Saccharomyces cerevisiae S288C: one gene and its partners. The gene in region 2 interacts genetically with the main gene of each other region. Each region holds a gene or a part of one and is shown on either strand. Other genes may lie near its edges. The genes, in order: AHC1, YKE2, CHL4 and BFA1.

Region 1 (3,920 bases), on a different chromosome or scaffold from region 2:
GGCAGTTCGTAGAGGGGTTGTTGGGGGGGTTCCGATTGAGTCTTTTTGGGCCTTCATTTGCTTTCTCAAGTCGCTCGCCTCCCTTTTTAACTGTCTTAACTTCTTAATTTGATCTTGCGTCTTGAAGAAATCTGGTATTTGGGATTCAAGAAATGTGACCCAATTATCACAATCTGAGTGGATTTGGTAGTCTATAATGCCGTGCCAAGAGGATTCGCCAATGGGTGTCTTGTTTACGAGAATGATCAGGCCGCCACGATCGTGAATTTTCTTACTTAATTTTTTTACCAGTTGTTTCACACCATCAACTTTCAAACTTGTACCCATGATGATCAAAAAATCAGGATTGCCTTTAATTATGTCAAGATTTAGGCCTTGCGTAATAATTTCACAGGATGGATGGTTTTCACCATACAGGACGATATTAGGTCTTAGAATACCCACATTAGAACCAAGAGTTCGCTTTCCTTCATTCAATCTCTTGTTGATAAGTGCTTCGCAATCCGGACACAATGGTAACTCACCTCTTCTTAGACAACGAGACCAGTACCTGCTCCAGGGAAAAGTCTGGAAGCACTTTGTACACGAAAGAGTTTTCAGGTCGCCGTGCAACTGAACGACATCCAGATTTTTCCAATGTGAACTAAATGAGGTAAGCGGTAATTTCCTATTTGATAAAGTAAGTCCTATGCTTTCTTCGAGCCCATCGATGTTTTGCGTGTAACAGCGCAGCAGTTTGTTCCTATCTTTTAGATGCGCAATGAACTTGTGCGTCTTAGTCGGCTTTGCCAATTGAACATTTGAATAGAGCCTCTCCATAAATTTAGCAAAAATGGATATTTTGAAGTCATCTCTAAATAGCGAAATATCAAACATTTCCCTGCCGGACTTGATAGACCAATACTGTGAACAATCCTTTTTCACTAGGTCGTAGAGCCCATCAGAAGAGCGAAAGTCAGGAATGCCCGCGTTGCACGAAATGCCTGCCCCAGTCAGACAAGCAATTCTCCTAGATCTGCTCAACTGCTTGGTTACGCGCCGGAGAACTTCATCGTCGGCATCAAGACCTATAATATGTGCCAGTTTCTCAGTCTGCAAAGAGGACGGTAAGTCGGAGCACATTGAGCCCGATCGACTGGCAGGTGGCGAGGGCGATACTGAAGTCATTTTTGAGAAAGATGGATCTAGTTGTATGTAAATTAATCCCTTCAGTTTTTACACCACTAACCACGTATTTGCCCTTGCTTGTGTTATATATAAGACGTACGCCAGATATAGTTCTCTGGCACGAATAACATTGCTTGCTTTTATTGACGTTTTACCCTTTGTGGTAACAGCAAACATAAACGTCGTTCGTGATGTTGAGTTACTTATTGTTACCCGCAATTGAGGGATACCCGCCACAGAAACACATGCAGTGCATTTGCCACTGTGCATAGCCGTAGGAAGAGGGAAAAACGAACAGGGAAGAAGCAGGAAGAGCAGACAGCAAGAACCCGTGCTAAGGAAGGTGATGAACTTTGGCCACTGAAGGCGCATTTTACCTCTGAAGGATCCCGTTTCCACATTTGTAAGCTAGTGTTCGTTCATATAAACACCCTGATCTTCGGCATTTCACTACTCTTCGGGCTCACGCTTCTCATCCAACACTTTGTGTATATGTCCATCTCCTCATGATGAGTCCCGCCCAAGATAAACTGCAGCACCAGCATCATAATCCTAATTCTTCCTCATCGTCATCCTCTAAGATGACGAACGTTTATCAGGTTACCACGCCAAAGTCTCCTCAGGATTTGGAAAACAACATGGATGAGCCCTTCAAAATGGACACCGCCACCAGTAATCCGGACAAGGATAGCGAAAATACCCAGCGGTTGAAGTACGAATGTGCCAAAGGGGAAATACAGAATGTTTTGAACCTACATATAATGCTAAACCACAAGCATGTTAGGCACTTACGAAGAAATGTTCAAAAGGTTAACGCAAAACTAGCTCTCTTGGAAACCCTGCATAAGGATACTGGTCTATTGAACAAAATCGAACGGACGTATCAACTCAAAATAAAACAACATCAGCAGCATAGCGTGCTCGGCGGCCACTTTCACGACAGTACGGCTACGGAAAATACGAACGCATCAAATTATAACCTGTCATACCCGGTTCTATCGGATTATAACATCAACTGTCAGCCTTTGTCTTCGAGCAGCAACAGAAATCTGTCAACAACACGCATACCACACCACCATTATCATACTAGAAGCAAGAGTAACGGGCTTTTGCTAGAACCTTCTGCCCTCCGTCCGGCAAATTCGAATATAATTGATTACAGGCTAACAGGTTCTAAATCTCTATCAGAAGCCATAACCAAGCCCACTCCCGTCTCGCTTCCTCACTCTAATTCGGATGGCATTTCTTCACCTCGTTCCTCCTCAATCTCCCCCTTAGACGAGCAGCCGGGGTTCCAGATACTCCCTTTTAAACCAAGTCAGATGCATCTTAACCACAGACGTAATTACAGTAGCACTTGTTTGACGAGCAATAGCGGTATCATCGGTAAGACTGAAAATAATGAGCCCATTTTTAGAAGATATGACGGCATTTTGGTTATAATTACGTGCTCCAAATGTGACCGTTCCGGTTTCACTTCCGCGCAAGGTATCGTGAACCATACTCGACTAAAACATTCTAAACTATATTCAAGCCAACCATTGGCAGTTTTAAACAACCAAAAACTACTTCCTAATGATAAGCAGGATCCGGAAATTTTATCTAAGTTCAAGAAACTAAATTTGGACCCAAACAAAGACTACCTACCCTCTGACATTGCAATCCCAAAACCACAATCACCAATCAACCACTCCGAGAACCATACGCGGGCTCCAAAGACTGTCAAGAACACTCCTCATTTAGAAAAACTATACCAAAATAAAGAAGACTTCAAAAAACTGATTGACATGGTTAATGAAACTCCGGATGATTTGAATGAATATTTGAAGCAACGTGAAATTCAATTAAGATATCAAAAGGAGCAAGAAGAGGAATCTTCCAAATCTGATGACGAAGCTTCTTACGTCCCATCACCGTCTCTCTCAGCAACGGCTACAACAACAACGACTACGGACCCACCCTCTCCGCCAGTGCTATCCTCCTCCTTACAAAGAAAATTGCTGCGTAAGAGAAAACTGAGCTTGAATAGCTCTACTCCCATGGAAGATTTACCTTTAAGAGAAAGGTTGAGAGCAAATCCCACTGACAAGAAACCAAGAAAAGCGGCCCTTTTGACTAATGAACTTGAGGGTCCTGATCCTGCAGCAAAATCATCATCTTATTACAATCTAAGGTCGAAATCAAGACTGCGTGGTTCTCATACATAGTACACACATATAAATAAGTAAATTACGTAATATAATATTCTGTTGGTTTTCTGACCTAATTTGTCGCTTTGGAAGAAAAAGTGGATTGTATTTTTTTGCATATTCCCTAATATTGAAGATCACTGAATATACTCACAGTGAACAATTACTTGAAATGCTACGGTTTACTCATCGAGGCCTTCCCTCCAGCACTCGTTTTAGAAACATTTTCGTAAGGTTAAATCACATTTATGTACCATGGTTCTATGCCATAGACGTACCCAACTCCAAACCCTATTTACCCACATATCAAACTTTACACTCACCCAAAAAGTTTAAGCCGTTCTCCGTTGATGATTCTAATCGTTTGGAAAAGGCCAGTAAGCGTCAAGAACGCAGGCCTGTTTTAGTCAACGAAGATTACCTGTTTAAAGTCGACCTCTCTCACATGGAATTGTCCCCTACCTATTGGGAAGGCCCTACTTATCAAGTACGAAGAGGTGTGTGGTTCGACTCTTCAAATCAACCTTTGTCCAGTGATCTTACCTCCGAAATTGAAGGGTTGTA
Region 2 (2,872 bases):
GGAACTAATGTCACAATTGGCTATTCCAAGCGCCTTTCTCTTTGAAACTGCAATTCCTGAACTACACAGATTGTCCGATGATATGATTTACTTTTCCAACGAAAAGGACCACCATGATTCTGCATGGTATGCTAAGAGATTGGCTGTTTCGAGCACCTACATTGGTTCAAAGTTATTTATGGCTCAGGATAAATCCCACAATTACAAAGAAACGTTTACTTTTGCAAAGGATAAATTACATAGGGTCATGCGTTTGGGTGAGTACTATAACAATACTGAAGAGTTTGCCTGGTATACGTTAATGTCTACGGTAAATTTAATCAAATCTCAATTAGTTAGGGGTTAAGCAATCTTACATGTCAATTTGAAGTTTAGGACAGTGAAATGCGTAGGTATTTTGTTTGTAAGTTACATAATTGTATATAAAAGAAAATTTTATTTTGGGCAGATTTATTGGTACTGTGCGCTTTCTTGTCTTTCCGAGGACCTGTGAGTTTGTTTTACCTTCCTGGGCCAGTGGAAGCTGCTGTATTGTTCAGTTTAATTAGCTCGCTTCTCATCTTTTCTAGTTCTTCCTGCTTGTCCCTTATGTTCTTTTCGCATCTTGTAATTTCTGTTTCGATGAACTCTAATCTTTTGTCCACGTTGGTACGTGCCTCACTTTGTTCAACTGGTAAAAGGACATTGCCTGTCAATTTGTACACAGGTGTATCTTCTTCTAATTGGTCAAACTCTTCATTTACAATCTTGTTTTCTTGTAATTGTGTCTCTAATTTTTGTCTGGCCACAATAAACTCTTCTAACTCATTTTGCAACTGTTGATATTTGGCACCTAATTCAGACATTTTTGCTTTTGTTCCTCCACTCAAATGTAGTCTTTTTCAATTCTGAAGTGGGATTATTTATAGATGACGTTTGACTTGATGAAGTTTTATTGCCTTTACTTTTTTTTTTCTTTCGCATCAAAATTTCAGACTTCATTGAAATCAATTTAAGAAGTTGCGTGGCAATAGGTGGCAACAGGCGAAATAATAAGAAACAGCGACCAAGATATCATCGCACTACAGTAAAATTTTCATTTATAGCGATGCTTGTATGTTACAATAATCTTTTTTCCCCATCATATTTTGCTAGAGTAGAGTGGTTTGACTAACTTATGTTACTTGATTCTTTTTGAAGTTTAAACAATGGAATGACTTACCAGAACCAAAACATCTGCTAGATCTCCCAGAGATTTCAAAAAACCTGCAATCTTTAGAAGTCTGCCCGGTTCCAAAAGTTGAGTTTCCTCAGGACTTGGATGTTCCTCAATATTCGACAGCCGTCATTACTACTAAGATAATGAACCCATTATTCCCCAAAAATCTGCTTCAATTAACCTCTATTGGTGAAATTAAAACTACATTGACGGTGAAAAGTCCAAGTCTTCCCCAATCTTCAGGTAAACACTCGTGGAATTACGACGAAAACTTTCCAAACGAGGTTGATCCTGATCAAAAAAATGACACCGCCGATGAAACAGTATATGGTTTTTCTTTCCCGATTTATTCATTTGGAAAGACGTTATTATTTTCTATGGAGGAGAATTTCATTAGTATATCGCCGATTTTTGGTAACATGATAAGTAGATCTATCATATCACAGTTAGCCCAGTTCTCCCCTGATATAATAGTAATTGGCACCTCTGATAAAATCGCCAGCATGAAGGTAATGACGGAAAATGAATGTACACTACAACCACCAGAATTTATAACGGGATTCATAGGAAGTGTGCTAACACAATTGATTGTCGGTCCCAGTAAGGGACTGAAATTTAAATGTCTTGTAGCGCCTAGTGAGGGGCCTAATGGATTTGAGAAACTTTCGTTGTCTGACATGGGTTCTTTAGTTGATTTGTGCGGTCAATGGCTTGGTTTTGAGCCTTCAAGATATTCTGAAGAATGCTATCGCTTATGGAGGTGTGATAGCGCGGCAATTGGTGCACAATCAGGCCTATATATATGAATGGCGATCACAGAATGTCAGTAATGGCGAGTGAAAGAGGCATAAGAGGGTACTTAAGCTCAAAATAACATATGACTTTTTTATTTAATAATATTTCTAAATATACAATATACAGCTTCCAAATCCTAAAGAAGAATATTAGAAGGGAATAAAAGATAATATATATATATATGAAAAACTTTAAAGGGAAGAAAAGTACACAAAAAGATGGGATATACTTTATTTCGATTCATTGTTCCTTTTAATCCTTACTTTTCTTCTTTTTATCCTTCTTTTCCTTTTTATCTTTCTTTTCCTTTTTGTCCTTCTTTTCCTTCTTTTCTTTCTTTTCCTTCTTCGATTTTTTCTCTTTCTTTTCCTTCTTTTCTTCATCATCATCTTCTAATTTTCTCTTCTTTGAGGATTCCTTTTCCTTGGTTTCTTCCACTTCTGCAGCTGGTTTATCTTTGTTATAAAGTTCCATGGCTTCTTGAATGGCTAATTCATTCTTCAAAGTTGGCTTACCAGTGTTGTAGAATTCTAATCTTTGCTCAACTTGTTTCTTTAGTACGGAACCAAAAACATTAGATGGTTCCTCAGAGTAATTGTCAATTCTAGAGGCCATAGAACATTTGTTAGCCAAGTATCTAGAAATACGACCCTTGTTCTTGGCAGAGGCCTTAGAAATAAAACCACTGTGGTAAATCAAACCGTATTTTGGAGTGTTACCTTTAGTTTTTAAAGCTCTGAACAAAGCCTTTTCAGCACCAAGAATTTGAACCGTTGAAGCTGCTTGCTTAGATAAATTAGTTAGGGAACCTGCGTGAGAAATTAATCTAGCACCAATCACTTCACCAATCAATTCTGATAAGTTTGGTGCAACAGTGTG
Region 3 (3,678 bases), on a different chromosome or scaffold from region 2:
AAAAGGTTCCCTGATAGAAATAAATACGGCTAAATTAAATAAACTACTACATAATCCTACAACATCAAATGCCTGTAGATCAAGAAAAATTAGCTAAGCTGCACAAGTTATCAGCAGCAAACAAAGTTGGTGGTACCAGAAGGAAAATAAACAAGAAAGGTAATTTATATAATAACAATGACAAGGATAATACCAAGTTACAAGCTGAACTTCATAAACTGCATCCAATGACCATTGAAAACGTTGCCGAAGCAAATTTTTTCAAAAAGAATGGCAAGGTTTTACATTTTAACAGTGCAGTTGTACAGATTGCCCCTCAATGCAATCTCACAATGATTCATGGCCAACCGAAAGAGAATACACTTAATGGGCTGTATCCGAGCGTAGCCTCTCAATTAGGTAGCCAAGAACTTGAGTATTTGACAGGTTTGGCTCATAACCTAGAAAATGAACAGACGGTGCTCGACCAGCTGGGCGACAGATGCAGCGAGACAAAACAACAAGTGATGAATAGCTGACATAGTTCATAATAATTGCCAGTAAACGTTATAGCTAGTGGCGAATGTCGAAGTGGAAATGCTATCACATTAATGTTGCAGATGAATATATATTTTCTTATTTGAGAAGATACACGCTATTTACTCTTTCAGCCATTACTGCTACCATTGTGGTTGTTATCTTGACGATGAACGATGTTGGATTGCTTGACTTTTTTCAGTAATTCATTGATACCCTCACCACCCGCAGTTAGTAATTTAGTCCTGTTTCTCCTACATGTCAGTGTATCATAATGTCTTTTCAATGCATCTTTCCTTGCAAAACCTTTGCCACATTGAGGACAAATGTTAGGCAATATGGCGAAGTGTGTCTTTTCGTGCCTTCTCAAATCTGATGATCTTGAAAATTCCAACGAACATTTCGCACATTTAAATCTTTTTTCACCAGTACTATTTCTACGATCTTGGGGTTTGCTTTTGCTGGACTTCGGTGGTTTTGGTAATGCGTTTTCCTTTTTAACCTTTATGTTACCGCCTTGACTATTTATATCAACACCATTTTCTGCCGGTATGAGTGCTGGTTTTTTATTTTGTAACCTGTTTTGCCTATTCCTTACCCTTTCTAATAACTCTTTTATTATAGGATCTATGTTATCTATATTTAATGATACATCCACTATTGCTTCTGTAGCCTGTTTGATAAATGCAGCATCCTGATCCTCCATTTGGTACTTTTTTGAAATTTATAATACCTCTTGACTTTTTTCCACTATATTATTAACAAATTCTTGGCATATGACATGAAACCCTATTCAATTATCCAGATGCATACATATATACCATGGATAGATATGTATATCTACTATATCTATATATACCTCGTCAATGTAATGAGGAAAGTTCCGAGGGCGACAAAGAGAACAAATATAGTTTTATTTATAATAATGATACAGAACTCAAGATTATTTCCTGCTTATTTTAAACTAAAAGTATAGCAAGTTCTAACCCACAATCAGGTTCTTTATTATTGTCAAGAAAATATAAACTGTGGCGTACTAAGCGTACTAAGTAAGGGACGAAAAACCATCACAAAATGTCACGTGCATGTTAGTCCAGTCGGGCAATAGATAGGGACTGTAAATTAAAGTTTATATTGAAATAAACAAAGGTAAATGGTAAAAGATTAGAAGCATAGAAAGCATCTGGCGTTATTTTAGCGGGGAAAGATTTTGGTGGATACTATCTTTGACTAGTATATTTGAGTAGCAATTAATGTCTAACGAATTACGGCTTGAAGATAACTATGTACCAACTTCCGACACACTAGTAGTTTTCAAACAATTGATGAAGCTGCCGGTAACGGTATTATATGATCTTACGCTATCATGGTTCGCAAAATTCGGTGGGTCATTTGATGGTGACATATATTTATTGACAGAAACATTAGACTTACTGATTGAGAAAGGCGTGAGGCGAAATGTTATAGTAAATAGGATATTATACGTATACTGGCCGGATGGCCTGAATGTTTTCCAATTAGCAGAAATAGATTGCCATTTAATGATAAGTAAACCAGAGAAATTTAAGTGGCTTCCATCAAAAGCTTTACGGGGAGATGGGAAACCTTACGTAGTAAAGCTCCAACCTGCCAAATTTATAGAAAATTTACAAACAGATCTAGCGAAAATTTACCATTGTCATGTTTACATGTTTAAACATCCCTCTTTGCCAGTGTTAATTACCAGAATACAGCTATTTGACAGCAATAATTTATTTTTGAGTACGCCTAATATAGGGAGTATAAATAAAGAGTCTCTTTACAACAAGTTAGACAAATTCCAAGGGAAACCATTAATATCAAGGAGACCATATTACGTTGCATTCCCGCTAAATTCTCCAATAATTTTCCATTCAGTTGACAAGGATATTTATGCTAGACTAGTTTTGCAGAGCATTAGTCGAACGATATCAGAAAGAGAAACAATCATCTTCAAACCGGTACAGAAAATACCCGTGAAATCAATACATAATATAATGACTTTATTAGGACCTTCGAGATTTGCGGAGTCTATGGGCCCATGGGAATGTTATGCTAGTGCTAACTTTGAACGGTCACCACTACACGACTACAAAAAGCACCAAGGCCTTACTGGTAAAAAGGTAATGGTTAGAGAATTTGATGATTCTTTCTTAAATGACGATGAGAATTTTTACGGAAAAGAAGAACCTGAAATTAGACGACTAAGGTTAGAGAAAAACATGATCAAATTCAAAGGTTCAGCAAACGGCGTAATGGATCAGAAATATAATGATTTGAAAGAATTTAACGAACATGTCCACAATATTAGGAATGGAAAGAAAAATGAAGATTCTGGTGAGCCAGTGTACATTTCTAGATACAGTTCCTTAGTTCCTATTGAAAAAGTTGGATTCACTTTAAAAAACGAAATAAACAGTAGAATAATTACCATAAAATTGAAATTTAATGGTAATGATATTTTTGGGGGATTACACGAACTATGCGATAAAAATTTAATAAATATTGATAAAGTTCCTGGGTGGTTGGCTGGAGAAAATGGATCGTTCTCAGGAACGATAATGAATGGAGATTTTCAGCGAGAGCAGGTTGCTAAAGGTGGTTTACTGTAGAAAACTACTGTGTTCTGTTATCGCTTCCAATAAAAAAAAAAAAAAAAAACCTATGCAAAAATTTCAGTCAAAGCATAACAAAACGAACCTTTTTTGTACTGCTCATTGAAGTATTTACGGGGCAGTATGGGCACTTGAAAGTAATTGTTCCGTTCTTCGATAATCTGTCTAGCGCCTTTTTAGAAATGATGTGATGGCATGCCAGTGAATAAGGAGGATTTTCTGTAGTGGTTTCCTCCTTTAAGACGGGACAGATGAAGATCGGATGGAAATGAGTCAGAAAATCTGGTAACTTGACATCAAATGGCAACTCATCTTTCGTAGTCCAGTCAACGTGCGCTAACTCCCTGATGGTTTTGTATTTGATGAAAAATTGGAAAGAAATTAAACCACTCAATACTATCAAAAACAAGGGAGAGTCAAAGAAAATATGTTTTGCAGCACAATATTCTTTTATAAATAACGACGTGCATTCTTTTAATTCCTTATTTACTTTAGAATCAATATCTTCAATAGGTTGACCTATTAGCGA
Region 4 (3,997 bases), on a different chromosome or scaffold from region 2:
AAGATGAAGAAATTGATGAAATTGGAACAGGTAGTGGTACCGAGACAGAAAGAGCTCAGGTTTCCTACGATGCCAGGATGAAATTAGTCCCTGCTGATAGTGATGAAGAAGAATATGAAACTAGCCACATTTCTGACACGCCAGTCAGTTTAAGTTCGGCTAATGACCGGGAATCATTGACTAAAAAAAGGCAAAATACTGCAAAAATTATCCAAAATCGTCGCAGAAAGCGTAAAAGAGCAGCTGACCTATTGGATAGACGCGTCAACAAAGTATCCAGCTTACAAAGTCTTTGTATTACGAAAATTAGTGAAAATATATCCAAGTGGCAAAAAGAGGCTGATGAATCATCAAAGTTGGTATTTAACAAATTGAGAGATGTCCTTGGTGGCGTATCAACCGCTAATTTGAATAATTTGGCAAAAGCACTATCGAAGAATAGGGCCCTGAATGATCATACTCTGCAACTTTTCTTGAAGACAGATCTAAAAAGGTTAACTTTCAGCGATTGTTCTAAAATTTCATTTGATGGTTACAAAACGCTAGCCATTTTTTCGCCACACCTAACCGAATTATCCCTACAAATGTGTGGGCAGTTGAACCATGAATCATTGCTTTACATTGCTGAAAAGCTTCCGAACTTGAAATCACTGAATTTAGATGGACCATTTCTGATCAACGAGGACACATGGGAGAAGTTCTTTGTAATAATGAAAGGTAGATTAGAAGAGTTCCACATTTCTAATACGCACCGCTTCACCGACAAATCATTATCTAATTTATTGATCAACTGCGGTTCTACCTTGGTATCCTTAGGGTTATCCAGACTAGATTCTATATCAAATTACGCTTTATTACCGCAGTACCTAGTCAACGACGAATTTCACAGTCTCTGTATTGAATATCCATTCAATGAAGAGGATGTTAACGATGAGATCATCATAAATCTGCTAGGTCAAATCGGGCGCACGTTACGTAAATTGGTTTTGAATGGCTGTATTGACTTGACAGATTCAATGATAATCAATGGTCTGACTGCATTCATTCCTGAGAAATGTCCATTGGAGGTATTGAGCTTGGAAGAATCAGATCAGATCACTACAGATTCACTGTCGTACTTTTTCAGCAAAGTAGAACTGAATAATTTGATTGAATGCAGCTTTAGAAGATGTCTACAATTGGGCGATATGGCAATTATAGAGCTATTGCTTAACGGAGCAAGAGATAGTCTGAGAAGCTTAAATCTCAATTCATTAAAAGAGCTAACTAAGGAGGCATTTGTGGCGTTAGCCTGTCCTAATCTGACGTATCTTGATCTTGGTTTTGTACGTTGTGTTGATGACTCGGTGATTCAAATGTTGGGTGAGCAAAATCCGAATTTAACTGTAATTGATGTTTTCGGAGACAATTTGGTTACTGAAAAGGCCACAATGAGGCCTGGACTTACGTTGATAGGGAGACAGAGTGACAGTATATAATAAAATAAAGACATATAAAACGTGTATTAGATAGAAAACGGAAAATTGACTAATGTTTTTATTCCTATTATACTCAGATCGTCAAATGTTGCCTTTATTTTCTATTGAAGGGATTTTATGGCATCTCGCGAATAATAAACAAACAATAATAGTAAAAAAAAAAGTGTAAACTTATGTATTCAGCGCAGATAAAAGGAAAAAAACGAGAAGTTTGACGTAAAGAAAAAAGTTCGAAAACTTTTGTAGCAGTTGAAAGTTTTGTATGCTATGTCAATTAGGCCTCTCACGTTAAACGGTTTAGATGAGCCAGAAACCTCTTTTGAAGAACTGAATACAACTCTACCTCGCTTTCAATCCCATGAAACATTAACTTTGGAAGAAAACGTGCCACCATTGAGTACATCAACTTATATACCGCCTCCATCCTCGGTAGGTACTTCTGACACTGGCACGGTATTTTCCAATAGTACCAGCGCGTTTTGGTCTAATAAGCAAGCAGACGATGATCAGGACATGGAGGTAGACCAGGATGATGAATTTCTAAATGACTTCCAGGAATTCCAAAATAAAAAGGATGATTTTGACGATGCTATTAAAACAAATTTTCATTTGAGAAATGGATGTCGAACTGGCCCTTTCAAAAACGACATTTTCGCAGAAGAGTTTGATAGAAAACTGAGTTTGGAAGATAAACCAAGGCTAAAGCAACCTAGATCAATGATGGAATTGAAACCAAAAAGAAAACTATCAAATAGCGTCACTTCAAGAAACTTAAGGTCTGGTAATTCTGTAAGATTTAAGAAATCTATGCCTAACTTAGCTTTAGTTAATCCAGCTATCAGAGAAGAAGAAGAGGACGAAGAACGAGAAAGAGAAGATCAACGAGAGTTTAATTACAAGATTGATAACGATACGCAGGACACAATTTTGGCGAAATTCAGTTCAGATGATGAAGGTGACTTTCTGACAGGATTTGAAGAATTAGAGGGTGAAGCAATTGATGAAACGATTTCTTCGAACGATAAAGAAAGTGCCGACCATCCGCGTTTCTTAAAGAAGTCATCCTCATCTTTGCCATTAAAAATATCACCTGCACAATATGATATAGTAAAGCATGACGAATTATTAACTCCAGGTCTTCATAGGCGACAACGAGATTGGAATACCCAGCAGGAACTGGACTCTTTTAAAGAAAAACGATCAGTAAGACACTGTTCTAATCAAAATGTACAACTCAATGGTCCAGCTAAAATCAAAACAATAAAACAGCAAATTGATCATAATACTCCAATGAAGAAAGGTTCTATGATATATAACCCGAAAACTATGAAGTGGGAAGGAAATGAAAACGTCTTAAGCAAATTTAGTGATGTAGACACGGCAAACAGGAAAGCTTTATTGATAAAAAACAAGCTACAACGAGATGCAGATTCTAAGAAGCAAAAATATTCTGATCTACAGCATGCAAGAGCCACTTCGAGAAATCAAAAGGTCATCGGGAACATGATTTTAGATGAACAAAATTTAAGATGGGTTAGTGTTTCAGAGGAAGAAGCAGACCCTTTTGCAGGCATTCCTGAGATAAACTTACCACCAGTTGGCAAAAGTATGAAAAAACGTAGCTCCTCACCATTTTTGCGTTCCAAAAGCCAAGTTAATACGCCATTTGTTTCAAATGACAATGATGGCGTTTATCAAAGTACGGCTGCTCAAGCAAGACTCCGTAAATACCATTCAATGAGGACACTTAACGGTACAACAGAAACTCCAGAAATAAGCTCTACTTTCCATTTGAGTTCAAGAGCATTGGAAAAATTTTACCACGAGGAGAACAGGTGGTGTAAAAAGTTAGCCTCATGGTTTATACCCCGAGATGAGACCATTATCAGTGTTGATGAGGAAACAATCATGGATGAAAGTACGGTCAATAGCAAGAGAAAATCCTATATGTATGAAATCAGGAACATGGTAATCAATTCGACAAAAGATTAGCCCTTTAGCCTTCTTATAACTGTTTCTTTACCGTTATCTTGAGTACATTCATTTCTCTTACATTCCAAAATTAGATAGAACCTTGAATCGTGTCAACTTTTCGCCGACATTTCGCGTCTGACAGAAAAAGAAATGTTGCAGAAAATTCGAATAGATGTTTCAAATGAAAATAGACCATGAGGGACACATTAACATTTCAAACAAAAGAGCCCTTGATGATTATTAAAACAGATCTTTATGGTTTGTTTAGCAAACACTTTGGTAATTTCATGAATATTTGACTAGCAGGAACAGAAAATCAAAAATGTTTAACCATGATTGGAAGTACTCCATTAATTCTAAGACTTTCGCCGATTTAAACATTGAATTATTTCGAAACCACAAGTTCAAAACTGTTTTAAATTACATAATAGGTGTAGTTGGGTGGAATGGATTAAAACTCGCCCTTTTTGTTTCTGACATTTACACATGTATCAAATTGCTGGCATTCAACTCCTGGTCAAACAACATCATCAAACCATACTTAC

The links.
Region 1: mutations in YKE2 (region 2) and AHC1 together harm fitness more than expected from each alone (negative genetic interaction), as found in Saccharomyces cerevisiae (5 studies listed by BioGRID, with this or other methods).
Region 3: mutations in YKE2 (region 2) and CHL4 together harm fitness more than expected from each alone (negative genetic interaction), as found in Saccharomyces cerevisiae (7 studies listed by BioGRID, with this or other methods).
Region 4: mutations in YKE2 (region 2) and BFA1 together harm fitness more than expected from each alone (negative genetic interaction), as found in Saccharomyces cerevisiae (5 studies listed by BioGRID, with this or other methods).

What each region holds. Positions count from the first base shown.
Region 1 is NC_001147.6:375,466-379,385, reverse strand, and holds AHC1 (Ahc1p), read left to right. Parts: upstream 1-1,673; coding exon 1,674-3,374; downstream 3,375-3,920. Other genes in the region: NAD-dependent histone deacetylase HST3, read right to left, coding at 1-1,167; DDL1 (putative carboxylic ester hydrolase), read left to right, coding at 3,529-3,920.
Region 2 is NC_001144.5:546,985-549,856, reverse strand, and holds YKE2 (tubulin-binding prefolding complex subunit YKE2), read right to left. Parts: upstream 846-2,872; coding exon 501-845; downstream 1-500. Other genes in the region: ubiquinone biosynthesis protein COQ9, read left to right, coding at 1-346; PBA1 (Pba1p), read left to right, coding at 1,088-1,093, 1,180-2,004; snoRNP complex protein NOP56, read right to left, coding at 2,246-2,872. UniProt on the Saccharomyces cerevisiae protein: Binds specifically to cytosolic chaperonin (c-CPN) and transfers target proteins to it. Binds to nascent polypeptide chain and promotes folding in an environment in which there are many competing pathways for nonnative proteins.
Region 3 is NC_001136.10:963,344-967,021, forward strand, and holds CHL4 (Chl4p), read left to right. Parts: upstream 1-1,769; coding exon 1,770-3,146; downstream 3,147-3,678. Other genes in the region: CCR4-NOT core subunit BTT1, read left to right, coding at 69-518; MET32 (Met32p), read right to left, coding at 647-1,222; ubiquitin-protein ligase RMD5, read right to left, coding at 3,214-3,678. UniProt on the Saccharomyces cerevisiae protein: Component of the kinetochore, a multiprotein complex that assembles on centromeric DNA and attaches chromosomes to spindle microtubules, mediating chromosome segregation and sister chromatid segregation during meiosis and mitosis.
Region 4 is NC_001142.9:532,282-536,278, forward strand, and holds BFA1 (Bfa1p), read left to right. Parts: upstream 1-1,745; coding exon 1,746-3,470; downstream 3,471-3,997. Other genes in the region: UV-damaged DNA-binding protein RAD7, read left to right, coding at 1-1,478; KCH1 (Kch1p), read left to right, coding at 3,775-3,997. UniProt on the Saccharomyces cerevisiae protein: Part of a checkpoint which monitors spindle integrity and prevents premature exit from mitosis. This cell-cycle arrest depends upon inhibition of the G-protein TEM1 by the BFA1/BUB2 complex.